7 linked regions of the Coturnix japonica genome follow. The protein of the gene in region 4 purifies or fractionates together with the protein of the main gene of each other region. This does not show direct contact. Links are inferred from orthologs where the notes say so. Each region holds a gene or a part of one and is shown on either strand. Other genes may lie near its edges.

Region 1 (4,023 bases), on a different chromosome or scaffold from region 4:
TTTTCCTTTCTCATCCATATTTTGATCTTGTATAAGGTCTCGACGTGTTCGCTCTTTGGAGGTAGCAACAACAGAAGATGGTAATGCTGGCTACAACGGAGAAATACAAACAACTCAGTTCATGTAAACGTTTTCTTTTTTCCTGCACAGCTCCCTTTGTTGTGAGTTACCTTTTTAATATCATCATCCTCTCCGTCACTTTCTTGGCGTGATTCTCTTCTGGTCCGACGCTCTCCACCCAGCCTGAGGAATAAAAAGCATTACTGGCCACTGGAGAACATGCATTAACAACAGCATCTACACAAGTCAGCATATATAGTCATCAGAATCAACAATCCCCATAAACCGTTGATCAGAAGAGTGGCAAGAGATAAATTTTTTAATGTAGCAGGTGAGAAAAGTGATTTAAGTTTTAATATAACTTTGGTATTAAAGTAAAAATGATGAACCCACATTACTGCACTATTTGACTTTTTAGCACAGCTTTGGATTTTGTTTCATTTGAGCTTTTCTTTTTCCAGAGTATCTAAAACGTTTATTTGGGTAAGAGAAATATGAGTTTGATTTAGAAGCATCAAGGCATCATAGAATTACTCAGGTTGGAAAAGACCTCAAAGATCATCAAGTCCAGCCTCAGCCTATTCATAGTACCCTAACTCTAAGATATGGAGATTAAGATTTTCTCAAATTCAAGAAGCTATTGAGGTTACCTAGGCAAATACCTGAAAATCAGTTAAGGACAGACAAAGCAATTAGCAGGGACCTGAGCCCTTGGATAACCTGAGGTTTTTAACACATAACAGCTCAGTAATGTATTAAACTTATTCTCAGCTTTTGCTCTGGGGCATAGCAGTTTGCTGCCAGTAAAGCATTTCACAATATATATTTTGTATAAATCAAAAATTCAAAAGCAAGTATTGCTTTTGTCAAGATTTACCACTGCATGTTAAGTACTCAGAAAAATGCAGCTCCCTATGGCCAAAGCCACATCTGATGGATCTGCATCCAGTTGGGAAAGCCTCCAATTTCTGCACAAACTGTCACACAGGAGGTATTAAGATTAATGAAAGGGAAATCCCAGTCACGATTTGTGTCTACTGTTAAACAAGTCTGGGCTAATATTGCAGTCTGCTGTATTAAATTCTGCATAAGTTTTCTGCTTTGCTTAGCATAAGTTTTTTAATCAGGCTTTTAGAATTTGGCATCTAACGCTGTAACTATATTCAGAAAATTGAAGAATACACTACAGCCTGCATCAAATACGCCCACAAAGTTAAAGGAGGAGCTTCGTGCAGAATGGATGAGGAACAAGAAATTCCCTCCCTAAAGGATGAAAAGTGCTCTTCACTACAGCACTTGCTACAGATTTCAACACCTTTGAGTTTTCTGCCCTTCATAAATATACAGAATTATTTAATTCCCCATATGGTTCTCTCCCCCATGATTCCACAGGCAACATAAGCCCTTGAAAGAAAGAAAGAATTATACATTTAAGTATCTCCACTGTGCAAGAATCACAGTAAAAGCAGGGTCTCCACATCCATCTTTCCACCCACCTGCTGGATGCCCCTTCAATATCCCTCTGTTTGGCTGGGGGTCCTCCTCCGCTATCCGAGAATCCACGCCTGAAAGGAAACCACTCGTGATCTCTGAACAAGGCACACTTTTTACTCAATTCTATACTCATTCAACGTTACTGCAGTAATAATGTATTTAAATGCACTGTTTGTGAATCAACCCATTTAAAGTTATTCAGAGGAGCTGCTGCACTCAAGCTACCTCAGTAGGTTCAAGAAGTTTCATTTTCTTAAGTGTTAAGGCCTCAGCAACAATTTGATATTGAAATTTAAAAGAATTAAAGAAACGTCCCATGTACTCAGGTAAGAAGAAACTACTGAACATGAGTCTGTTCTTGATTCTGGCTCTACCATGGAGCTGAGAAATAAAAGAGGGCAGAAAAGGTAAATTCACAAAGGAAATCCCCCTATGTGAGTTTTATGAATCCCGGTGACTTCCATTCTTTCTACTCTCCTTTGAAACACCACCAGTTTCTTAATTACCAAGACAGTGATTTTGCACCACTTCAAAGGAAGGAGGCCCAGGACACCAGAGCGCACCTCCCTTCATTCTGGAGGTCCTCCTTAACTTTAAGGCTAACAGCTGGAATCGCACCAAAAGGCACCAAGATCAAACCGGGCACTGCAGGCACCGCTATGGACCCCCGGGCGCTCCCGCAGGCCTCCCACTTGACTGCGTTGTTCCAGCTCCCGATCCCTTACGGTGAACACACGGATCAAAGCCGGCACACAGAACGCGCAAAGATAACAACCCGGAGTCGCGATAAAGCAGCAGAGCCGCATGTCCTTACCTCAGCAGTAAGCTCCCTCGCCCCCTACCTCCACCAGGGCCTGAGAGGGCCAGCAGTCTGTTCTGCGGGGGCCTGTGAACACAGCACATCGCTCAGCGGCACCGCCCGGCCCATCGCCGCCCTCCCACCCCCCGCGGGGCCGCAACCCGACGGCCCGGGGTGGCGCCGGGGGTGCGGGGGCGGCCTCCTCGAGTGGAGCCCGGTAAGCCGGCCCTCACCTCACATCGTTGGGGTCCCGGCCCGTGAGCTTGCGGATATTCTCATCCACGTGTTTCAGGCTCTCCTTGGCCTTCTCCAGCTGCTCCTGCAGCGCACGCACCGCCACCGCCATCCCGCGCGGCCTAGCCGGGCACGGCGCGAGGCACCGCTGGGTAACGGCGGGACAGGCCCCGCCCGGCAGCCAACACTCGGCTCCGCGAGGGAACGGACGGCGCAGCCAATAGCCCCGCGGCGGGTAACGCCGACAGCCAATAGGCGAGCTGCAAGAGAGAGGGTACGCCCCCGTGGGAAGAATCTCTGCACTCGGCCACCAATCACAAAGCTCAGAGACAGACTGACATCTTTCTTAGCCAATCACCGAGAGCCGCTGCCTGCCAGCTCTGCGAATCACAAAGCGGGAGGGCCAGAGCGACGTCTCTCGTGGCTAACGAGAAGTTACTTCGTCGCTTTGCTGCGGTGGGAGCCAATCACCTTCGAGCTACCACAGCCTCTGTGCCTGACGGACCAATCAGGAGGGGCGTTACAGCGGGCAGCCGCGTTGTACGCTCCCGCGCGGCGTAACGTGATCCCGTGTAACGGGGCAGCACGCGGGGCGCTGCGCTGCGCTGTACTGTACTGTACTGTACTGTGCTGTGTTCGCCCTCCGCTGCCCGCCGTTCTCACTGCACACGGTGCCGTTTTGGCTGCGGCCGCTCAGGCTGCACCCCGCCGGTTTCTCATAGTCTCACAGTCTCGTGCGGGTTGGAAGGGACCTTAGAGATCATCGAGTCCAACCCCCGGGATTCGAGCCTCTGTGTAGCAGAGCGGCACTTCTATCACTTGCGCCACAGGGGGGATTCGAACCCCGGGCCCCAGTGTTGCAAGGCGGCGTCTTTAACCACTGCGCCACCGGGGCACACACCGGTTGCCATCTTACAGAGGCAGAAAATGGGGGTTGAACATAAAGTGCCGCTTTGAAGGCGATGTAAAACAAACACACCGCACATCAGCGCTCTCCCCGCTCTCATACCCGCCCCAGAATCACTCCGCCTCTCCCAGTCCCGGCCCCGAGCCCTCCCGCTCCCGGAAGGGGCGGTGCAGCGCAGCGCAGCGGCTCCCGTTGGCTGCGGGCCGTTGCCGTGACGGCGGGCGGGGGCCGCCCGTAGGGGAGCGGCCATGGCGGACGAGGCGCTGTTCCTGCTGCTGCACAACGAGATGGTGGCGGGGCTGTACCGCGCCGCCGAGCAAGGCGAAGGGGTGAGTGGGGCCGCTGCCCGCCCCAGAGGCCGTCAGGCGGCGGCCGGCCCCGAGGCTGAGGCGGCGGCCGCCCTTGTGTCTTGCAGGAGAACGGCCGCTGCACCACCAAACTGGAGAGCATGGGATTCCGCGTCGGGCAGGGACTGATCGAGAGGTGGGTGTGTAGTTCTGTAATTGGCACGATTTCCCTGTCCTGAGGG
Region 2 (3,500 bases), about 120 Mb from region 4:
GAGCCTCTGTGTAGCAGAGCGGCACTTCTACCACTTGCGCCATAGGGGGGATTCGAACTACGGGCCCCAGTGTTGCAAGGCGGCGTCTTTAACCACTGCGCCACCGGGGCACACTTGTTGAGTTGCAACTGTTTTATTTTAGACTTAATAGGTGACTGTATGTAAAGGAAATATTTGTAATGTCACAAAGATACAATACAAGAGATTCAGAAAAGTTTATTACCTGGTGTCTCTACAGCGTGAACTTGACTGAGGAGGGCTGTGATTTAGTCTTCTGGAGAACTTCTTCTCTCGCTCTTCCTCTTTAACTATCTGAATTTTAATTATATATATTAGATCAACACATCAGTACACTATACCAAAGAATTCTGTACAACCAAATAAAAACAAAAATCTCAAGTACTGAACAGAATCTGCAGCAACAATTGAAACAGAATAAGATTTTTACTTCTAATATAATAATATACTAAATTTCTCATTTCTGAGGATACTCAGAGCACTGTTTGGGAGAAGATTAAGTAGTATAAGAAATGTTTATTATGCTGCACTGGAAATACAACTACTTTTGATACAGGTGGAGAAATCCATATTGAGCTACAGTGAAAGACCTGGGTACACAGGAATGTTCCATGAGTGGCATAATAACGTCTTTTCAGCAGATTACATTGTTGACATAATGGTTAAACACTCATGCAACCAAACCTAAGCAGCTATTGAAAAAGGGCTAACCTACTCTTCTCTGGGTCATAGAACCATGTAAACACCAGTGCCAGAACATTTCCAGGATCAAACAGCTTAATGAATGAGTACTGTCATTTGAAATGGCAAATTAAAAGGGCAGCATTAATTAGAGCAGTCTCCTGAGCAAAAAAACTAATGCAGATTGGATTGTGCCGCACATTCTGCAATACCCAGGAACTCTGTTTCCATTTGCACAGTAAGAACCATTTTGATTTACTCAGGAAATTCTATTACCTACGTTCTTATGTTCAGAAACGCTGTGCTTAACATATGAGACACAAACCACCAGACATCTTAAAGTTGCAGTGCAAATTTTGATACTAAACTTGGGGCTATTAATAAACACACATGATGCAGTTGAACTAAATAAGTAAGTCATGGGAAGGAATAAAAAAAGGTACACAGATAAAATGATGTCAGCGTTTACCTCTTCTTTTTTTGTCTCCTTCTCCTGGTGTTGAAAGAACTCTACTTTTAGGCTTCCTGATGATGGCTGTTCTGGTGGAGGTAGATAGCTTTTTGTATTCACAGCATCAAACAGTTTTTCCACAAATATCTGAGTTTCTAAAAGTAAAGAATAAATATTCAGTCTTCAAACCTAATATATGCTTTTAAAAACTAAAAAAGTTCAAAAAAGTTCAAACAATTATTTGCACATTCCCCCCACCCTCCTCAACTTTGCTTTTATACTTCGTATTTCAAAAGGACTTTTACAAGGTCAAGAAACATGTCAATAATTACAGTGTTTCATATAGGCATTCATATTTTTGGTATCTTCTTATCAACCACCTAGAAGAACATTTTTTAACATACAGAAAGATTCAGGGCTTCTAATTCAGGCAGTAATTCCTAACATTCTTAGTTTTCTTCCAGGAATAAAAACAGACAAAAAAAATACACACTTAAGAAATAAAACAAAGAAATTAAATCTATAAATTATGCAAAACCTGTGGCTTTTGTCCTTTTTTCTTTTTTATTCCTTCATGCAAATTGAAATACATACTTTCAAGTAATAAAGCTGATGAAGAAATGGACAAAGAAGTCTACATTAAAAGTCTGTTTGAATTAAACTTTTCAATCAAGCTTAAGAGTCATGACATACCTTTCTGAAGAAATACATCCAGCTGATCAACACACAATGCCTTCAGCTCCTTTTCACTTTTATCCTTCTTTACCAAAGCCAGAACATATTTAGCTAGGGCAGATGGATCTGCATCACATCTGCAAACAGATTAACAAAAACACACAGAAGAGATTAAATTATGAAACTGAATATCTAAAACTAGTATCACCAATTCCATATAGAGGATCGAAATCTTTACTTGTAAAGTAATCGAAAAACATCTGGGGGTATTTTCTAAGAGTGAGTCCAGAGATGAAAGATCACTAAGCATCACATTTTTCTTCAGAGAAGTAATTTCTTAGAAGTGAGATTTTCCAAACAATACTCCACACACCATTTCAAAGCAAACTAGAACAAACTATTTAGGGCTTCAACTGCCTAATAGTCCTGAAGAATAATAAGAGCTACAATAAGTACTTCCATAATTTCTCCATTATGAAATCAGTGAAGACTGATCTGTAGTACTGGGTAACTCTTAGTAGTGTAAAGTTAGCCTATGTGAATAGAAATGAAAGAAATAATATAGCAGAAACTATGCTACTGAAATGAAGATTTCCATTACCATATGCACATTGATGATGTGTTAGAGACAGCCAGCTGTCTGGGTGATGACCAAAGTTAATACTACTTAATACTACTACTTAAGCAATAGTTTTAAGAAACCAATGAGGAAAGACGATCACACTGATGCATCCTAACTGTATATTCTCTGCATCAAAAACAACTGTGAAATGAGGGAAATTAAAATATACTCAGGTTGTTGCACTGAATTTCGGTGTTATATAAATACATTTCCAGTGAATACGTCCACGATAGCTGAACAGAATAGAACAGCTACTCCCAATCTCTTCTACATTAAAACATATGAAATTTCAGCACTGAGGCTTAATGAAAAGTCTAACTGTTGATAACTAATGTGTTTCAGGCCCTGAAAGCACATCCTTCACAATATCATGCTAGATATCACACTACATAATTCCTTTCCTCAAAGAAGCTATCTCCAGCACCACATTCTCCACACAAACATATCCATTAAGCAAAGGAAGCAGATCTGTCAGCATCTGTCTTAAGCAGGCCCTGAGGATACCTTGGGCTCACAATTGTGCTCTCTAAAGTTAGAGGTCAAAGCTTCAAACATAACCCAGTACCCTGAAGAAAACAGGCAACAGCAGTATTTCATGCTGCAGAAGCAACATGAGCTGCTAAGGGACAGAGCACAATCTTCTGTGTTAGCCTGCATTATTCATAGATATAGGAGATGGGAGTTTACAACCAGTTTCAACCCCAAAAGAATCTGCACACACAAAACCAACAAAACACAAATATATGCTGCCAATTGAGTAACAGGCTGCACAATGACTGAAAATTCTTCAGAAAATTTGTCTTCTGAGCATCACATCTGGTTTACTCCAGTTCAGATTTAATAATTGTCTACCTACAAGACTGCTGCTCAAACATCAAGTCACCTCAGAAACAGGAACGTGACTCTATATATCAAGAACAGCAGAATTGCACATCACCCACCCAGACCATCTGGAAGCCCACGCCTTAAGGCTGTCTGTGCAATGAGGTAGCTGGCAGAGAGAGGTCCCAGCCAAGAGAGCTCACTTTTTATTTGAGTTCCCACCATTTTTTG
Region 3 (4,092 bases), on a different chromosome or scaffold from region 4:
ATTTCTAGGAGAAGGTAAAGTGATCTTGCTTCCTGCTATGGAAGTCTGAATGTTCCTCTGCACACTACTGCCTTAAGGACACTGAAACACCTCTATCTGGGAAAAGCTACTTATAGCAGTACTTATATGTACTTATATATATAGTACTTGTCGTATGCAACATGCAGACTTCCATTTAAAACAAAACCCACTTATCACAGATTTTGTTATCATAACATGTTTCCTATTAAAAAGAAACGTATCTGAACCAAATGTTTGCTAGCTCATAACAATAAATGTAAAATTCACTTTAGCCAATTAAATCTCATTGAGATCACTTCACAGCCCACTGAAAGATTAATTCTAATGCCAGCCATATGATTATCCTGAAAGACTCATTCCAGCTGCTCATAATTTCTGGATTGTTGTCAACCTGCTTGTTCTCTATCCAGACTGCTGTTAGAACTTGTGGATCTACTACTCATCTTACAAAAAACATTCTCACAACAAACAGCATTAGAAATAATTATGCATACCCAGAATAGCATTTACGGCCCCTCAAGTAAGGAATATAAAAATACTTAGTCCTTCAAGGGACATTAAGCGATGGGAAATTACAGTATGCTAGGAAAATTCTCCTTGCTCTATACACAAAATCTTTGGTTGGTTTTGCACAATGATTCCTTCCAATATATCAGTATGTTTACAGTAATGAGTAACTATGATCCGGACTGTAACTACAGAACACAAATACCTGTTTTCTGTCTTCCTGTTCTTGCTTGGACTGGGGGATCGAGACCGTCTGCCTCTGCTTCTGCTCCTGGAGCGCCTTCTCTCTCGGCTTCGTGATCTTCTTCTCTCCCGACTCCGTTCCCTTTCTCTACTTCTTGAACGTCTGCCCCAGAACAAAAGTGTACTTACTCAGCATGTGGCAACAGTGTAATTTTGGCTTTTAAAAGGAATCCAATAATCACCAAGGATCACTAACAGCTTACAAACACCAGCACCAGCAACAAGACATTACTTAATAAGCCAAAATATTAAGTTCTATCATGAGCAACAACAAAGTAAACAGCTGTAGAGGAAGAATATCAGCACTGGATAGCAAGCATTCTTCCCTACTTTGGAGCTCATACCTCTGGCGCTTCCTGTCACGTGAGCGTGACCTCCTCTTGTCCCTGCTGCGCGATCGCTCCCGTCTGCGATCCCGATCTCTGCTCCTGGAGCGTCTGTCCTCACGTTTCCTTTTATCAGATGGAGAACGACTTCTAGAGCGGCTCCCGGAGCGTCCCCGCGACGCAGAGCGCTTCCGATAATGCCTGCGTTGTGAAGTCACAGGATAAAGATAAGCACAAGTTTGAGGACAGTTCGGGAAGTGGGAAGAAGCAGAGAAAGCAAGACCTCAAGTCCCCCATGTCCCTTCCCTTTTGTCACTGCCAACAGAACTGTATTACAACAGTGCTGGCACTAAAAATAATAGAGTTTATTTCAGCACATCGGTATATTTAGGTACCATGTACATTTGGAATCAGTGCAGTAGCAGCGTGACATCTATATCCTGCCTACAGCAGTATGACTGAACGTGGAGAACATCAGTCACTGTCAGATATCTCTGATTTCTTCCCATCTCAGCCCCAAAATGCCATGAGAACTGCTCCCCATTTCCCCCCAAGATTTCTTTTTCTTCCTCTACAACGTGTAACAAATCTGGGCATCTCATTTCAGTCTGATGAGTCCCTACAGCAACTCCAGGACCTACCCTGCCCTTCTCCACCCCCCACTCCCTCTCACTCTCACCATCTTTTAAAGCATTTTGAACACTATAAACCACGTTAGACAGCTGAGTTTGAAACCCCATATTACTTTATTGATTGATTGATTTTAATTGATACAACCCAGTTCACCATGCAGCTGCCCCACAACATAAAGACTTGCAGAAGGGGATGGAGCTTCTAGGAGAGCAAGGGATGCAAGTGGGAGCAGCGGGGGCTGCTTATACAATTAGAGCCCCGTGGCCTGCTTTGACAAACACACTGTGAGTGCTTTCTGCAGACTTTTCTGTTCAGTCCAACCCTAAAGCCCATCTAAAACCACATTATCAGAATGGAAGCTGTACTGAGGTAAGCAAAGGAGTCCTGAGAGATCCAAAGGCAGCACCAGGAGCTGCCAGCAGATTTTGTAGCCTGCAGACTGTTATCAGGCTGTTAACATTGTTTCAGGGTTAAAATCTGATGATAAACTAGTCAGTACAAATGTAACAACAGCATGAGCACACGGCACAGCTGGTTTAAAGCCCAACGGGTGCGAGCAGCTCCACAGCACCCGGCAGCACCGACCGAGACACACAAGGAGCGTGTGATCACATTACTGCTGAATTAGTTAAAACGCCCAGTGAGGTGTTTGTGTCAGCTGCGAGGACAAAAGGTCCAAGATGACGCTGAAACTTGAAGAGATACGTGCCATAAACGCCTCAACAACAGGAATCAAACACTAAAATCCCGATCTCTCGGCCCGGCCGCAGCTGCTCACAGCGGCGCAAGGACCCGCGCGGTCCCTCAGCGCAGCGCAGGCCGCTTCGTGCGGCCTTTGTTCCCACACGCAGCCGCCCGGCCGCTATCGAAGCACCCGCGGGCCCCGGAGCGGGTCGTGCCGCCTGTGTCCCCGTCCGTGTCCCCGCTGCCCTCACCTGGACTCCCGGCCCATGGCGGTTCGGCGGTGCGGGCCCTGCGCTACCACACGGCGGCCATTCGGCGCCTCAGCACCGGAACGACGAGGCGAGGCGGCAGCGCGGCGGGAAGCGGCCTGAACCACTTCCTGCCCGTCACGGCGCCGCAGCGCCCCCTGGCGGCCGGAGGGCGCAGCGCAGTGTGAGCGGGCGGGACAACGCGGAAATAAAACGGGGAAGAAAAGGAAAATAAAGTGTTTGTGGGTCGGGCTGGGTCCGACAGGAGAGATGGGATAAAATAACCCCTGCAGCACCACGTCCTGCTCCAGAGACCTCAGTGAGCACAATGCACGTCACCAGAGCGACATGCACTGCGGCTGTGAAGCACCAAGGTCACACTTGTGTGGTAGGAAACCAAAAGAACCAAAAGCACCAACGCTCCAGAAGCGATTTAACACAGCACGACTTGCTGGGCTGACAGATGATATTCTGACCACAAAGGAAGGGGGTAACAAATTTAATAGAAAACAATCGGTTCAGCAATAGACATTAAACAACATCCATCCACAAAGATAAGTTAAAACGGAATGAAGGAGATTCATTTCTTGGCCTAAGGTGAGGAGTTGCCCAGCAGAAGCCCCAACCAGCCCTTTGCCATCCCTCATAGACAACAGGTCCATGTTCCAGCCCCACCTGGAAGCCCAGCAGCTATTTCAATGTGGTGGGACTCCTGTCCATCTCAGGAGCTTTACTTCTATCTGTGCTAACGGGTTTAAGTCAGAACTTTTTCCAACCCAGCCTCGGACACCTGAAATACAACATTCATTGGAAAATAAAGAAACAAACAACTGTTAAAGTGATACACAGGCCGTCATGCCACAAATGTATCTAACATAAGAGCCTGAAGCCCAGTGCTGGCTATTTGGAATGACACCTCACCAACATCCTTACAATGGAAAACAAGAACATTCATTAACCTGCTCCTTCAGCCAGGACTCACTTATATCTGTTGTTTTTTCAGCTACACGGCTGGACACCCATAGGACAAATACACTTTCTATATGTGGCAGTCAATTAAAAACAGCAGTTTGTTTCTTATTTTACTCTCACGTGTAACGCGTGGGGTTTAAAACAGGGATAGCTAATAGGATTTCATTGGGGCAAAACAGTGAAGGGAATGGTTAGCAACTCAGTTACCATCCACAGATCTGCTGAATCAAAGGCCCTATTGACAGTGCTGGGCTGTAGGACGGTGGCACAGCAGTAGCAGAACTCCTCGGCAATGATGGTTCTGTTTACATGCAACTGGTTGATCGTGAACGTATCGAGATAATGAAGGTCATGTAGGAAAAAACCCGTCATAGGCAGCCCTGCAAAAAGCTATTTTTACATCTAACAAACATCTGACATTGCAGCTCGGTGGCTGCTCTGTCCAACTTCCCCCTCCT
Region 4 (3,500 bases):
TCCAGTGTCTGAATGTTTACTAAGTATATTGTCATGGTGTGACTGTGAGAAGAGGAGGTGATATTTCTCAGTTTTACAAAACTGGGACACACAGAAGTGAAAATTAGAAATGCTCACTAAGTTTGCCCTCAGGTTGAGTATCACAGGGTGCTTTTAAAGAGTTCTTACTAAGAAGTACCGTCTTTTTGACTTCACAGCTAGTTGTGAATTATCGGTGTTAGTCTAAGTCAGAATCTGAGGTGTCTCATTCATCTCAGAAAATAAAGAACACAAGCTCACTGAGCTCATGAGAAAAACATGAAGATGGAGGCACTTGGCTGTTACCTTTGCCTGTTCACTGTGTTAAAGGGAGGTTGCAAAATGCTTCCTAATGTCATTTTCAGATGTCTCACTAACAAAGCCATTTTTTCCTTCTTCATTCTCCTGCTTTATTTACTGCAGTCCTTCACCTTCAACAAGATGCATGAGAAGGATTTATTTCAGCAATAGCAAGGCTACTGAACTGACTCCTGTTATTTCATGAATAGTGCATGGGTTTGTGTTTAAAAAAAATTTGACTGTGCTATGCTGCATGGTCTTAAGGGAAGACTTTAAGTATTTTCTGTCTTTTCAGGGGTAGAAAGCAACCTTAATACTCTCTCAGTGTATTTTACTTTTACACTCTCTGATGGTGCTTTTTTAGAACTTGAGCCTTGCACTCAGTTACAGCTCTTTTAGAGGACTGTTTTGTTGAGGTCACTGCCTGTTCTGTCTTCTGCCATTTAGTGTTTTCTTTTCTTCCCTGGTAAGTTCTGCCATTTTCTTTTCCAGATGGCCATTATTTAGTGCCATGGTTGCTCATTTGCACTTCTTGTCCCAGTACTTCAAGATCTGCATCTTGTTTCAGTCATTTGCAACTCATCCTGCTAGACTTCCTCTCATTTTCCTCCTTGTCTCATGTGCCGTGTGTTTTCTTCTTCTAATATACTTATGCAGGTTTAACTGATCATTATATCCCCTCTGGATTCCCAGATGCCTTTCAGATCTGGTATCTCTTTCATGTCTCACCATCAGTTTCTGGTTGAGTTCTTGTGGCTTTGAGATGAAGAAACTGATGGTCCCTCTGGTGTTATTGTACTTGTGATACTTGGTTCTTTCTTCCACGTTTAAGGCAACCTGCTTTCTTCCCCACACGTGTTAGGAGTCAGCAGGTGGTATGTAAAAATAGCAAGAAAAAAGGAGGAGTCCTCAAGAATTGTATGTTAGAACCTCCAGTGTCTCAGGAGAATATACAGATTGCTGGATTAATTAGATCGCAGTTTTGCAGTTTTACTTTGAATCATGTTTAGTGCAAATAGATCCTTCAGAGAACTTTGATTCAATGTTGAATTATCTGTGAAATGGGTAACAGGCTGCTGGGCTCTGAAATCTGCCAAGTTCTGATCATTCCTTTCCCAGTGGGGCAGATCTGAAAAGAAAAACAACAAAATATCAACAGCCAAACTTCAGGTACCTTAACCAGGAGTGGAAGGGATGGATTCATTTTCTCAATCAAACCATTTAAAGAATGTCTTTTATGTGCAGTTTGAGTTTTAACTTGTTTTGTCATGGAAATATGCTTCATTTTTACGTAGATGCTCTGCCACATATTTTAATAATAGGTATATGGAAGTTTATTAAAAAACGTGCTTAGTATGTGTGAGGATGTTTAGAAATCGAGGTAAGAAATTGAAATCCTGTTTATGTTGCTTTAATTTCTCCTAATGTTCAACAAAGTCACTTGCAGAAAACGAGTAGCATGTTCTGAATACTCTTCTGCCTTTTGTTTGTATTAGCAAAAACTCGTGCTGCTGACTTACTGGTGAATCCACTGGACCCACGAAATGCAGATAAAATTAGAGTTAAAATTGCTGACCTGGGAAATGCCTGCTGGGTGGTAAGTGTAACTACATCAATTCAACTCTCTAGTCTTCTCTGTGTAGAACAGCCCTTTTTATTGCTCATTTTTGCCATTAATGTGATTCTTTCTGTTTTAGCATAAACACTTCACAGAAGACATCCAGACCAGACAATATAGATCCATAGAGGTTTTAATAGGAGCGGGTTACAGTACACCTGCAGATATCTGGAGTACAGCATGTATGGTAAGAACTGTACAGTGTGTATTTTTCAAGAAAAGAATCCTAAAAATAGTTGTTTACTGAGGGAAGGAATCTGACGAGGATAATTCTGATATTTTGACAGAAATGTAACGCTATAGATTATATACCGTCAGACAGCAGCTGATTGTTGTTCCCTTTTACTTCAGTATTTTAATCGTCTTTAATCAACAGGAGGTATTTTGGAGAAATGTTCTGGTTTTCATTTCAGGCATTTAAAATCTGCAGTTAAAAATATGTAAGCTTGAAGGGAAAGATGTGTGTATTTTAAATGTCAAAATCCAATTGAAGTAGTATGACTGTATACTTTGTTCCTGTATTAGACTGTGCAATCCTGCGCTGTTTCCTTTTTCTTGCATAAAATAGTGAAAACCTGAAATACTTTAAATTTTGCCAACTTCAGTGAAAGCGTTTGTCAGAGTAGGTTTGCAGATCGCAGCTTTAGACTCTAATCTTGAAGGGAAGGAATTTATTCTATTAGCAAAGTATGTGGTAATGTTGTGTCGAATTTGTTTTAACACAGTAAAACTGATGTGTGTTTTAAAAGCTTTAAAGTGTAGGAAGGATGAAAGGCTAATTGTTGCACTTTCTGAAACACTGATTCTGTTTGCAGTCTCACTTCCAGGACAAGTAATCTACGTGCATTTTCTCATTAGAGTTGGAAACACGTTTAGAAGTACCTTTGTCTATTTAAAAAGTGAAAACTTATTCGAGTCATTATATTTTACAAATATGTATCTGAAAAGATTAAGTGTGTGATGAGGAGGAGAACACTTAAATACTAGACACAGTTTGCAGGCGTGGGTGATGAGAAGAATTGCAGAACTCGGAGAGGAGGAGGACTGAAAGGAACATAAAATCCTACAGATATTATAAGCTCAGCAAGCCATGTGTTGGAAGTAACTGACTATAAGTAAATCTGCAAGTATGTGTTCTCTGGAGTTCAACACTAGTTTTTCTTTTAGTTGATGGAAAAGAACATCCATTTCTAAATTTACTCTTCCATTTTGAGGCAAAATGTAGAATTTTTCTATTGGATTGAAAACAAAGCATAGAAAATTTTCTACAATTTTGAACCCGAATTCTTTATTTATTCTTCCCATAATTAGCTGTAAGAATACTATAGAAACTTTTCATTCCTTATATCTGATATTTTGCGAACTTCTGTTCTACTTGAAACCTTGTTACAGTACTGAATACTCTATATTACTGTATAGTCTTAAAGGTTGTACTGGTTCAGCCTACATCCTGCTAATTGGCACGTGGTGGGAGTTGCTTTATTGTTCCTTTTAAATAGAGAAAACCCCTTTTGAAGGGTGGGATCTGAGGCACAATGTATGAGTTCTTATATTGCAAGATCTT
Region 5 (3,500 bases), on a different chromosome or scaffold from region 4:
TACATACAGCTATACAAAATCCACCCAGCTCAAGCTCTTAAAATGTCACATAATAGGATAGAGTTTAATCTCTACAAATATAGAGAAGAATTACAAGGAAACTGATGTGTGTAGTCACAGAGACTGTGGCCAAACCTGCATGAATAGTCACTCTTCATCTGACAGTCCTAATAGTCCATATATATTAATACCCCACCCCCCAAAAAACCAACCAACAAAAACCCAAACCCCTTGCTGTACAGGATTTGCTTATACATCGCTTTAACATGCTACAAACACCAAGTGAGTCTGTTTAGACTCAACAAACACAAGAAATAGGAGCAGCAGCTCTTGCTGTACAGAACAGCCACTGACTTTAGCCCATCTAGATCTCTTATCTGTCAGATGTAGATCCCTGCTCTCTCACCAGCATCACTGGGTAAGCAGAACAGTTATCTACAAAGGATTCTCCTTTTCAACACTGTCATTATTGCCTGCTGGTGCCTCTAATGGGCACATGGCCTGCTGGAACATATTGCTGTCACATTAGACAGCTACTAATGTCAGATTTCAAACCTCTCAAATAATAATGGACAATCCATTCAGGAAAGAGCCAGCTCAATTACTCCACTCATCCATTACACAATGAGAGATCCCACTTACCTCTTTGGATGTAAGCTTCTTGCAAGGCTGTTTACCCGAATGGTCTTCATCATCCTCCTCTTCTATATTCCTTTTTCTTTTCTTCACTGTGCCACCTGCAAACAGCAGAGATTATGGACTCCAGCATCTTCCACAACACCACAGAATTAAGACTGGGGTCACTGTCCCATCTATTTCAGCATAGCAATCCTTTGATGGTATTTTAATAGCTTTTACCAAAACAACATGTCTGTCCCTTACCAGAAAACCACTCATGATAAGCAGATTGCTTCAAGCCTTACATAAGCCTAGAAAAATGTCAGTCTTGTCACTATAGGGTTCTCCCACATTATTCTGCCTTTAATCAAACTTGCTTTGGAAACTGAAGACACAGACCCTCAAAAAAGTGACCACAGTAAAACCTATAGCCTGCAGTAGCTCTGTGCTTTTATAATGTCATAAAATGCTTCCACCCCCTGCTGTGTAATACTATACCGTGTGGAATGGATGTTGCTGAGACAGCAAACCACCCACAGCACCATTCTGCTGAGAGCACAACATTTGTCTTTATCTTCACTCAGTAGCAGAGATCACATTTTACTATACAGGCTCTACAGCTCTATAGAAAGACTATAACAAGCTCATGAGGCAGCCCTTAGATTCACTAAGCTGAGGTTTATATAGCAGCTTTAGGGAAATAAGAACTTGCAGTGAGGAGCTAATGAACACCCTTCCTTAAATCCCCTATTTTCTCTCTCTTATTGGATTTCCAGACAGAGATCAGGAACTACCAATTTCATTTTACCTTTCTCTTCCTTTTCTTTGGTCTCTTCAGCCTTCTGCACAGATTTTGCAAACACTTTTTCACTCAGCTGCTTAGGGATTCTACAAAAGATAAAACAGACAGCAAAAGAATGTCATAATACAAAACTCAGCCATCTCTAAGAAGCGATCCATCTCTGATAGGTCCCAGCAGCCTGTCATCAGTACAGCCGCAGACTTTGCATGGTAGAAATATTCCAGTAATCTTGTCTCTAGAGTTACTGGACTTCTGCATTGCACAAAGGGCAAAATTTAACACTTATTCTTGACGTCTTAGTCCTCACAAACATGGTGGATGAGCTCCGCTAAAATTGGGCCTGTCATACGAGCTGGGATGCTCTTGTAAATGCACAGAGACTCATGTACAGATAGGACACTGGCCTCTGTATTACTCAAGAAAGGTCAATATCAGGGAGATGCAAGGAAGAAATATTGCTACCCACAGGTTTCTAAACCATACCTGAACCAACAGTGAGAAAAACTTCCGTTATTATGGCCAATAGAAATTCTTAGAACACTCTCTCAAAAACAAACTGCTGCTTAGCCAAAAGAAAGCATGGCTAAAGTAGAGAAGCAATGGACATAAAGGCAGTGGAACTACAACAGAAACTCACCATCTCTTTCCCACCCCCCCGCAATGGAAAACACTCGAGTCACTAAACAGATTCAGATACCTTATTGCTGAGAACCTCTTGGCTTTGGCCTTATCCAGAAATTTCTTGCACTTTGCAATCTTCTCCTCCAAAGCCTGAAGAACTTCCTTCGAGCTCTCCCTGGCACTCTGTACAGTTGGCTCTGATTCTTCCTCTACTGAATCTTGATGTTGCTCATTTTCTTCTTCCTCTTCTTCCTGTTCCTCCTCTTCAGGAGCATCACTGTCTGTTTCATCAAAGCCTGGCACATCTACAGGAATTAAGTCTTCTTCTGAGAACTCAGGTGCTACATTAATCCTCCCAAAGTTTTGCCGAACATTTGCCATGAGCTGCTTCATTTCAGTGTCTGCATTCTTCTTCTCTTCCGTTGGCTCCACATTTGATGCAACAGACTCAGAAATTTCCTTCTCATTATTAAATTGGCTTGATGTCATTGCTCCTTCCGATGCGGGTGGCTAGGAAAAAGGGCGTAATGGATATATTATCCACAGCCTGTCCAAACATCCCCTTGGACGAAGCCTAAGATAACTAACAACGTGGTAATTACTGACATTTCTACTAGTTGGATGACTGCAAAACAGTTCAGACATCTCTGTGGAAGAGTTCTTTGCTATCCGGTGCTCTGAATCATGTCAGGAAAAGCCCAATTTACATGGTGCTCTGGCAAAAGCATCAGTGAGTATCATTAGAAGAATGGAATAATATGCAAGAAGAGGCACGAGCCTCACATCCTTACCTCAGCAGCTGCTTCTGCATTTGGTGGCTTCACAAAGAACGGAATTCTGCCCCTCTGCCAGTCATTGAGAACCATCTTGCTGACAGTTTGCAGATCAGGCTCACCACCCTGAAAGAATTCAGTAACAGTTTCTGTCCTTGTTTGCAGGGCATACCATCTTTATATTATCTCTTTGCAACTGAAACGTATTTCGCACTTCCAGTGCAGAAACAAACCCACATGCTCTTCCAACCTGTAAATACAGGATGCTCTCAAACCTTTAGTAGTTTTCCAGTCCTAGCAGCAAGCTTCTCAAGGAAATCTTCTGTATCTTTCCAGAAATCAATTTTGTATGTCTTTCTGATGTACTCTGGCTTGGCTCTTTCCAGCACCGCACTAATGTGATCTTCAGGGCTCTTAATCTTTTCAACTTGAACCTAAAAATGAATGGTAAAGTATCAACCCTTTGGAAAGCGTGCAGACACTTCTTTGAACTCACCATGGTGAAAACAGCAAGAATTTTCCCTGCACACAGCACAGATACATACCACTCCCTTCAGAACAATGTCTGTTTCTGAGTCTCCAGATGGATACACCACCCCTGGGCAGTCAATGAGAAAAATCCTCCTCATCAAAGTAATGTATTGCCACACCTGAAAGATATCAGTGATCCCCACGTTACCTCCTCT
Region 6 (3,949 bases), on a different chromosome or scaffold from region 4:
TCGGCCATTGGGAGCCCCAGTGTGGGGTCTGAAGAGCGGGTTCATCACCTGCCCTGTGGTAATCAACCCTCACACACTCAGGAGATACACTATGTAGTTGGGGACACTATGTATTTTGGGGTAGTCCAGGCCCTGGTGCTTGGTGCTTTCCCACAGATCAAATTCAGGCAGGAAACTCTGTTCTCCAGTGTCCCATCTAATTAATGTGCCCTTCAAGGCCTCTTTGAAAACCCGTCCAAGGGCAGTTTGTTGGTTATCTGGATACCAAGTATTGCTCTGCTCTTGTGCTGTGAGACCTCACCTGGAATGCTGTGTGCAGATGGCAATGGGGCAGTGAGGCACAGGTTGCCCAAGGAGGCTGTGGATGCCCCATCCCTGCAGGCATTCAAGGCCAGGCTGGATGTGGCTCTGGGCAGCCTGGGCTGCTGGTTGGTGACCCTGCACACAGCAGGGGGTTGGAATAGGATGAGCATCATGGGCCTTTTCAACCCAGGCCATTCAATGATTCTATGATTCTGCAACCCTTACAGTTCCCTTCCAGCTCAAATAACGCTACAGCTCCATGACTGCTTTCCCTCTTGCAGTGCCCTGCAGCCCCGCTGCCTTCACACATCCTGCAGCCGCCACAACTCCAACCGCACCTCCATCACCCACCTCCGCCGCCAGGTGTTCGGCCGCCTCTACCCGCTGCTGCTGGTCCGCACCGACGGCTCCACCATCCACATCCGCTACAAGGAGCCCAAAAGGATCCTCATGGTAAGAGGTTCGACACAACAATGAGTGCACTCAGGGCTGTGCTTTGCTTTGGGTGCTGCAGCCTCACCCTCTGCCATCCCTCCCCCTGCAGCTGCCCCTGGATAGCAGCACGTTGCCCGAGGCTGAGCGCAAGGCCCGGCTGAGGCGGCAGTTCCCCAGCAAACTGCGGGTCAAGCAGGAGGAGACATTGGAGGAGCTGGATTTGGAGAAATACAAGAAATTCTGGAAGAAATAAAGCACCGATTTGGGGTCACCTCCCACCAAGGCCTCCTTACCGAGCTGACAGACGCAGCTATAGAAATAAAAGCCATTTTGTTAAGGATTTATTAGGGTTTTTAGGTGGTTTTGCCTCATTTTACGCCTGCTTTGGGCCGTTTCCCTCCCCCCTCCTCTTCTCCCCCTCCACGCTGCGGTGGTACCGTCCTCCACCCCTCCGGGCCCGGTGGTACCACCCGGGGAGGGGCTGCAGTGCGCGGGCCCCGCGGCCCGGAGAGGTGCGTGCCGTTGTTGGGGGGGGTCGGGCTTTGGGGGTCTCGGGTTCGGCCGTTTTCCCTTCCACCGTCTCTATGATCCCGGTGTGCGGCCCCGGTCCCCTCCCTCCCGTGCCCCCGAGCTGTGCAGCCCCCGTTGGGCTGTCCCAGCTCATACAGACACCCATTGCCAGTACAGGTAACCCCCCCCAACCCACTCAGACCTCCATTGCCAAGCTATGTGTCCCCTCTCTAACCTATGCAAGCCCATTGCCAGCCCGTGTGTCCCTAATGGGTCATGCAGTCGCCTTCCTCCAACCCACTACAGATCTCATGTCCAGGCTTTGCAGTCCCCCTCTACCCCAAACCCATTCAACCCTCCATCTCCAGACTCCAACCCCACTGATCATGTAACCCCCCCCCTCCCCAAAGCTGTGCACCCTCCTCCACCTCCAGACATTGTAGAATCCACCCCATACTTTACCCTTCCCCTCTATTCTTTACAACCCCCCCCCAGCCCCCACCACTAAGGCATCATCGTGACCCCTGCTTGATACCTAAAACCTCCTATGGCTTTAGGATTGCAATAGGGGGCACCTCCCTGCCCTCCTTCCTCATTGCACTGCAGGGGAACCCTTCATCTCCCTCATCCCACCACAATGCATTGCTGGGGTGGCCCTGTGCCTCCCCATTCCTCCTCCCATTGCCCTGCAGGGGCAGCCTGCTGTTCTGCCATGATAACAGGGCCCATCCTTTTAGCACCCCGTCACCATGTTCGGCTCATCCCGAGGAGGGGTCCGGGGGGGCCAGGACCAGTTCAGCTGGGAAGACGTCAAGACAGACAAACAGCGCGAGAACTACCTGGGTAAGGCCTTCATCCCCAGCCCTGCGTGTGGGGTGAAGATAAAGGACTGGGGATAATGTGGAGCTGTTGTATCCCTGCAGGAAACTCTTTGATGGCACCGGTGGGACGCTGGCAGAAGGGCAAGGACCTGACGTGGTACGCCAAGGGCAAGCAGGAGCCCACCCCGCTGTCCCGTGAGGAGGAGCTGGCGGCCGTGCGCCTGGCTGAGCAGGAGGCCATGATGGCAGCACTGTGAGCACCTCCCTACAAACCCCCTGTGACAACCCTCCCCAAAAATAGACAGTCTGAACTGTGGTGGGCATGGAACATCAGGCATAATGGAATCACGGGCATGGAACAGTGGGCATGATGGAATCACGGGCATGGAACATTGGGCATGATGGAATCACGGGCATGGAACGGTGGGCATGACGGAATGGTGGGTGTGGGATGGTGGGCATGATGGAATGGTAGGCTTGGAATGGTGGGCATGGAACACTGGGCATGGAACATTGGGCATGATGGAATGGTAGGCATGGAATATTGGGCATGATAGAATAATGGGCATGGAATAGTGGGCATGGAACAGTGGGCATGATGGAGTCATGAGCATGGAACATTGGGCATGATAGAATAATGGGCATGGAACGATGGGCATGCAACACTTGGCATGGAATCGTGGGCATGATGGAATGGTGGGCATAGAATGGTGAGCATGGAACATTGGGTATGATGGAGTGGTGAGCATGGGATGGTAGGTGTGGAACATTGGGCATGATGGAATAATGGGCATGGAATGGTGGGCATGGAACATTGAGTATGATGGAGTGGTGGGCATGGAATAGTGGGTATGGAACACTGGGCATGATGGAATGGTGGGCATGGAATGGTGGGTGTGGAATGGTGGGCATGGAACATTGAGTATGATGGAATGGTAGGCTTGGAATAGTGGGCATGGAACAGTGGGTATGGAATGGTGGGCATAGAGCATTGGGCATGTTGGAATAATGGGCATGGAATGGTGGGCATGGAACACTGGGCACGATGGAATCATGAGCATGGAACATTGGACATGGAATGGTAGGCATGATGGGATGGTGGGCATGAAATGGTGGGCATGGAACATTGGGCATGATGGAATGGTAGGCTTGGAATGGTGGGCGTAGAACATTGGGTATGATGGAATGGTGAGCTTTGAACACTGAGCATGATGGAATGGTGGGCATGGAACATTGGGCGTGGAATGGTGGGCATGATGGAATAGTGGGGATGGAATGGTGGGCATGGAACATTGGGTATGATGGAACATTGGCCATGATGGAATGGCGGGTATGATGGAATAATGGGCATGGAACACTGGGCATAATGGAATAATGGGCATGGAATGGTGGGCATGGAACATTGGGCATGGAATGGTGGGCATGGAATATTGGGTATAATGGAGTGGTAGGCGTGGAATGCTGAGCATGGAATGGTGGGCTCTCATACTCCAAAATGGGGTTTGGATGGTGCTGTGCAGAGCTGGGGTTTAGACTTGAGGATCCTTATGTGTCCATTCTGAATGGGGCCATGCTGTGACTGCCTGCTTCTGTCACTAGGGGCTACAAGAACGTGAAGAGGCAGCCCACAGGCCTCAGCAAGGAGGTGAGGCCATCCCCGCTGTCCCTATAGGCCAGGACATCCCCCGTGCTCTGTGTTCCTATGGGCTCTCAATGTTTTGCCCACAGGACCTGGCTGAGGTTTGCAAACGGGACAGCACAGAGCGAGCCGAGGACATGGACCGGGTGGTGGGCTTGGGCAGCTCCAGGTGAGCACTGAAATGCTGCATTTCAGAGCAGCTGTTTAAAAACAAAACACAACGTTTATGTTGGGTTTTATG
Region 7 (3,500 bases), on a different chromosome or scaffold from region 4:
TCACTGCTGAGTCCATTCAGGCTGTACATTGTGGATGGTCTTTTTCCCACCAAAGATGTCTTTTGAACTATGCCTTGAGGTTAAACGTTAATGTGTATGTAATGTATTGTGATCAGAATGGCTGGAGCTGATTCTAGGCAAAGGATGCAAATGAATTTTGTGATTGGATGAACCAAGATTTCATACAGTGCTTTTCAGATAATCTTGGATTCACTGGAGATAACTGTTTTGTTCCTGTCCTGCCTGTTTTCATTGTTCATCTCACCATCCCTGCCTCACTTCTGAGAGAATATACTGCAGATTGGAAATTATTACAGAAAGCAGCACGTCCAACACCCTCTCAGCCACAGAACTACATCAAACTCAGACGCTGAACTGCGAAATCAACTATGGATATCTAGAATACATTCAATTGAATTTCATTATTCTTCTTTCTCATTGTACTTAAAATGAGAGCTATTTCTGATGGGAAATCTTGATCAAAATTTAGATTGGCCTCCATTTGTTTCTGGCCTGTTGTAAAGAGAACTTCTAGTGCCTGTCCAGCTTTAGCTGCTCTCCCCATCACATGAGTAAAACAGACTCACTGTGATATTACCAGTTACCATCAGAAGAACGCAGTTTCAGAGGAGAGATTGTTCCTTGGTTCTGAAGAGGTCTCATAAGACTTTCAAGTTAGTTTACTTTACTTGAAATAATTATGGTCCTTGTTAATTACAGTTACATTTTTGGAGAGTAAGGTTTAAATGGAATAAGAATGGAGGATGAGAAATGCAAGCATTGATGATGATGGGGGTGAGGTTTTGTTAACAGAAATTAAGCCTTAATGAAATATGTAGCAAATGTTGCCAATAGTAGGTTTTAAAGCAGTGGTAGTTTTGCAGTGTTATTGTGGCAGACCATAAATAGTTCTTGCAGTGAAAATTTTTACAGAAGAAGAAATTTTAACTTCCCTGGTCAAAATGTAGCTCAGGTTTATCTGTATGTGATGGTATCTTCTCACCTAGAAAGCTGCAGTTAGAAATAAGCTTATCTCATTTTACTGGTTTCTGAGTTTAATCTTAGCAACCATAACTTAGAGAAGATGAATAGAAATTCAGCTACATAAATGAGAACAGCTGATACAATGGTCTAATTAGTGAATATAGGAGCTTAAAGCTTTGCATTGGGTTGTTTCATCTCAAGTGTGTACTTAATGACTATTGTTCACAAATAGAATTTATCTGCATCAATGGGATTTCTACTACTTTATATACTGCTGTTATCTAGGAGCTTTCGGTGGTATAAACTGTCCCTTAGTGAGCAGAGGGTTTTGTTTAGTAAGAGCAACAAAAGATATATGTATATTAGTATCTTATGCTTTTAAAACTCCTACAGGTTCATGAGTGGAAGGAGCAGTATAGGGTTTTGATTCCTTGCTGTTTAACCACACTGAATATTATGTTACTGGACCATTTGTTTTGTGTTCTTGTATTTCTCCTTCCTAGCTGGTTGCAGATAGTAGTTAATGTGGTCCCTAAAAAGGATTCTTTGAAGTCATTAAATCCGGAAGTTAAGCCTTTCTTCATACAGTTTTTCTACATTTGCCTTTACACGTATGTTAAAGGATTCATTCCCTGCCCTTTATTCTGGTCATGTTTATTTTCCACAAGTGCCAGTGGGAATTGTGAATGTAAGGGGAAGAAACACAATAACATGAAACAGGCGCATGGATGTTTGTGTTTTCCCTCTTTCCAGAAACTTTCTGGTCATTTTTGGATAAACGTTTCCGAAGATTCAAGTCAGAAGCTTTCACAGTGGAGCAGTTCTGCTCACAGTGCCTGTGGCATCAAACTGAATCCTACAACAGAGGGTTAAAAAACAGCTTGTTAAATTGCCAGACATACCAAATTCACACCCAACTAAATGCTTTCTTGGAGAGAAAGCAAACATACCCGGTGTCCCTTTCTCCCACTTGCTAAACACGTATCTGCTTAAACTCTCATGTGCTGGTTTAGTATGTTACTTATCAGTTTCTCTACTTCTTAATGTATGTTAAAAATGGTATCTAGCTGGGGAAAAAAGAATAACCAGAGTCAGTTATGAGCTTTAATATTGTTTCCAAACACAGTTTGTTTAAGGTTGCTGTTGTTATGAATTTTAATAGTGCCAAGTGGTTTATCTGTAAGAAAAAAAAACAAAGGAAGGTTTTCTAATAGCATTAGAGTTTTCTTTTCTTCAGCTATGCTTCTTAAATTCCAGCTTAGCCCTACAGAAAGGTAGATGGCTTGTCCAACATCTCTGTGTATACAACATTATGACAAACTATTTTACAGGAACTGTTTGAGTCGGGAACGGACAAGAATAAAATAATAATACAAAGATGAGAACTTTCTTTAATACGGTGTTAAAGAAATCTTAAGAAAGGGGTTGAGATATTTCTTCTCACATACAAATGCATATATAAATAGTAAAGAAATGTGGATATGTATGTGTGTGGACTAATAGAATTGCTAGTAAGTCATCACATGAAATTCAGAAGAACTTATTGTTACAACATCTGTAGCTACCGGTATATAATGTAATAAGTTTCTATTGAAAGTATTGATACAAATGTTTTTTACATATACAGTCTTTGTGTTCTCTTTCAGGTCTTGAATCATCACGTCCAAATTTAATTCTTGGATTGGTCATCTGTCAAAAAGGGAAACGTCTTGCTACTGGCATGGAAGCAGACAAAATAGAGGAAAAGCGAAGTCGGATTCAATTGCAAGAGGAAGCAGAACCATCTCAGTTCCTGAAGGGGCCAGCAACTTCTTTCCAAGAAAAGAAAACTCCAAAATACACACTTTATTCTGGAGACTCAGCTGTAAGTACAACACCACCTGGGTCTCCTCCGCCGCCGCCTCCACCCCCACTTCCCGTTCCGGAAAGCTCAACAGTTACACCTTCGGTATTAAAGATACTGTCCTCGATTAAAAGCGGAACCACAACTACTGCACCACCACCGCCACCACCACCAGTTTCAGCTACTGCTTCTCCAAGTGGTGCTGCTACACATTCTTCATCTTCAAAAACGGCCACTCCTCTTGAGCACATCCTGCAGACACTTTTTGGAAAGAAGAAATCTTTTGAACCTGTTCCCAAGGATTCTGAAACTGCCCAGTCTTCAAATCAGAAAGCTCAGGCAGCTGCTGAGGGAGGTGTGACGGCTGTTCCTTTGTTAGATCCCATTGTACAACAGTTTGGCCAGATGTCAAAAGACAAAGCTATAGAAGAGGAGGAAGACGACAGACCATATGATCCCGAGGAAGAATATGATCCAGAGAAAGCTTTTGAAATGCAGACAGGTGAAAGTGAAAAACTCTATAATGTGGAAAAGCCGAGTAATACAGCAATACTAGAGGATGAGGCCTATGATCCAGAAGATGAAACTATCTTGGAAGAAGCAAAAGTTGCTGTTGATGATTTACCAAACAAAATGTATACGGATACTAAAAGCAGTGCTGCAGAAACATCTG

Evidence for each region.
Region 1: the proteins of SRPK2 (region 4) and PNN purify together in Homo sapiens (affinity purification with mass spectrometry; 3 studies listed by BioGRID and IntAct, with this or other methods). This does not show direct contact. The link is inferred for Coturnix japonica from reciprocal best matches to the Homo sapiens genes SRPK2 and PNN.
Region 2: the proteins of SRPK2 (region 4) and RBM26 purify together in Homo sapiens (co-immunoprecipitation; 3 studies listed by BioGRID and IntAct, with this or other methods). This does not show direct contact. The link is inferred for Coturnix japonica from reciprocal best matches to the Homo sapiens genes SRPK2 and RBM26.
Region 3: the proteins of SRPK2 (region 4) and DDX46 purify together in Homo sapiens (affinity purification with mass spectrometry; 4 studies listed by BioGRID and IntAct, with this or other methods). This does not show direct contact. The link is inferred for Coturnix japonica from reciprocal best matches to the Homo sapiens genes SRPK2 and DDX46.
Region 5: the proteins of SRPK2 (region 4) and GNL2 purify together in Homo sapiens (affinity purification with mass spectrometry; 3 studies listed by BioGRID and IntAct, with this or other methods). This does not show direct contact. The link is inferred for Coturnix japonica from reciprocal best matches to the Homo sapiens genes SRPK2 and GNL2.
Region 6: the proteins of SRPK2 (region 4) and C2H1orf35 purify together in Homo sapiens (affinity purification with mass spectrometry; 3 studies listed by BioGRID and IntAct, with this or other methods). This does not show direct contact. The link is inferred for Coturnix japonica from reciprocal best matches to the Homo sapiens genes SRPK2 and C1orf35.
Region 7: the proteins of SRPK2 (region 4) and DIDO1 purify together in Homo sapiens (affinity purification with mass spectrometry; 3 studies listed by BioGRID and IntAct, with this or other methods). This does not show direct contact. The link is inferred for Coturnix japonica from reciprocal best matches to the Homo sapiens genes SRPK2 and DIDO1.

The regions. Positions count from the first base shown.
Region 1 is NC_029520.1:34,113,753-34,117,775, reverse strand, and holds the start of PNN (pinin), read right to left. Parts: upstream 2,801-4,023; 5' UTR 2,700-2,800; coding exon 2,587-2,699; intron 2,441-2,586; coding exon 2,369-2,440; intron 1,626-2,368; coding exon 1,557-1,625; intron 455-1,556; exon of another isoform or gene 244-454; coding exon 171-243; exon of another isoform or gene 151-170; intron 91-150; coding exon 1-90. Other genes in the region: TRAPPC6B (trafficking protein particle complex subunit 6B), read left to right, coding at 3,743-3,823, 3,910-3,977. UniProt on the Homo sapiens protein: Transcriptional activator binding to the E-box 1 core sequence of the E-cadherin promoter gene; the core-binding sequence is 5'CAGGTG-3'. Capable of reversing CTBP1-mediated transcription repression.
Region 2 is NC_029516.1:137,286,013-137,289,512, reverse strand, and holds part of RBM26 (RNA-binding protein 26), read right to left. Parts: intron 1,963-3,500; coding exon 1,844-1,962; intron 1,306-1,843; coding exon 1,169-1,305; intron 313-1,168; coding exon 224-312; intron 1-223. UniProt on the Homo sapiens protein: May be involved in the turnover of nuclear polyadenylated (pA+) RNA.
Region 3 is NC_029528.1:2,449,291-2,453,382, reverse strand, and holds the start of DDX46 (probable ATP-dependent RNA helicase DDX46), read right to left. Parts: upstream 2,801-4,092; 5' UTR 2,683-2,800; coding exon 2,666-2,682; intron 1,299-2,665; coding exon 1,116-1,298; intron 875-1,115; coding exon 734-874; intron 1-733. UniProt on the Homo sapiens protein: Component of the 17S U2 SnRNP complex of the spliceosome, a large ribonucleoprotein complex that removes introns from transcribed pre-mRNAs.
Region 4 is NC_029516.1:12,444,130-12,447,629, reverse strand, and holds part of SRPK2 (SRSF protein kinase 2), read left to right. Parts: intron 1-1,814; coding exon 1,815-1,915; intron 1,916-2,015; coding exon 2,016-2,123; intron 2,124-3,500. UniProt on the Homo sapiens protein: Serine/arginine-rich protein-specific kinase which specifically phosphorylates its substrates at serine residues located in regions rich in arginine/serine dipeptides, known as RS domains and is involved in the phosphorylation of SR splicing factors and the regulation of splicing.
Region 5 is NC_029538.1:3,330,734-3,334,233, reverse strand, and holds part of GNL2 (nucleolar GTP-binding protein 2), read right to left. Parts: intron 3,465-3,500; coding exon 3,360-3,464; intron 3,249-3,359; coding exon 3,090-3,248; intron 2,941-3,089; coding exon 2,833-2,940; intron 2,552-2,832; coding exon 2,118-2,551; intron 1,507-2,117; coding exon 1,427-1,506; intron 738-1,426; coding exon 643-737; intron 1-642. UniProt on the Homo sapiens protein: GTPase that associates with pre-60S ribosomal subunits in the nucleolus and is required for their nuclear export and maturation.
Region 6 is NC_029517.1:2,070,663-2,074,611, forward strand, and holds the start of C2H1orf35 (multiple myeloma tumor-associated protein 2), read left to right. Parts: upstream 1-1,149; 5' UTR 1,150-1,250; intron 1,251-1,274; exon of another isoform or gene 1,275-1,425; intron 1,426-1,985; 5' UTR 1,986-1,997; coding exon 1,998-2,091; intron 2,092-2,171; coding exon 2,172-2,322; intron 2,323-3,668; coding exon 3,669-3,714; intron 3,715-3,797; coding exon 3,798-3,877; intron 3,878-3,949. Other genes in the region: MRPL55 (39S ribosomal protein L55, mitochondrial), read left to right, coding at 585-756, 848-991.
Region 7 is NC_029535.1:7,513,310-7,516,809, reverse strand, and holds part of DIDO1 (death-inducer obliterator 1), read left to right. Parts: intron 1-2,630; coding exon 2,631-3,500. UniProt on the Homo sapiens protein: Putative transcription factor, weakly pro-apoptotic when overexpressed. Tumor suppressor. Required for early embryonic stem cell development.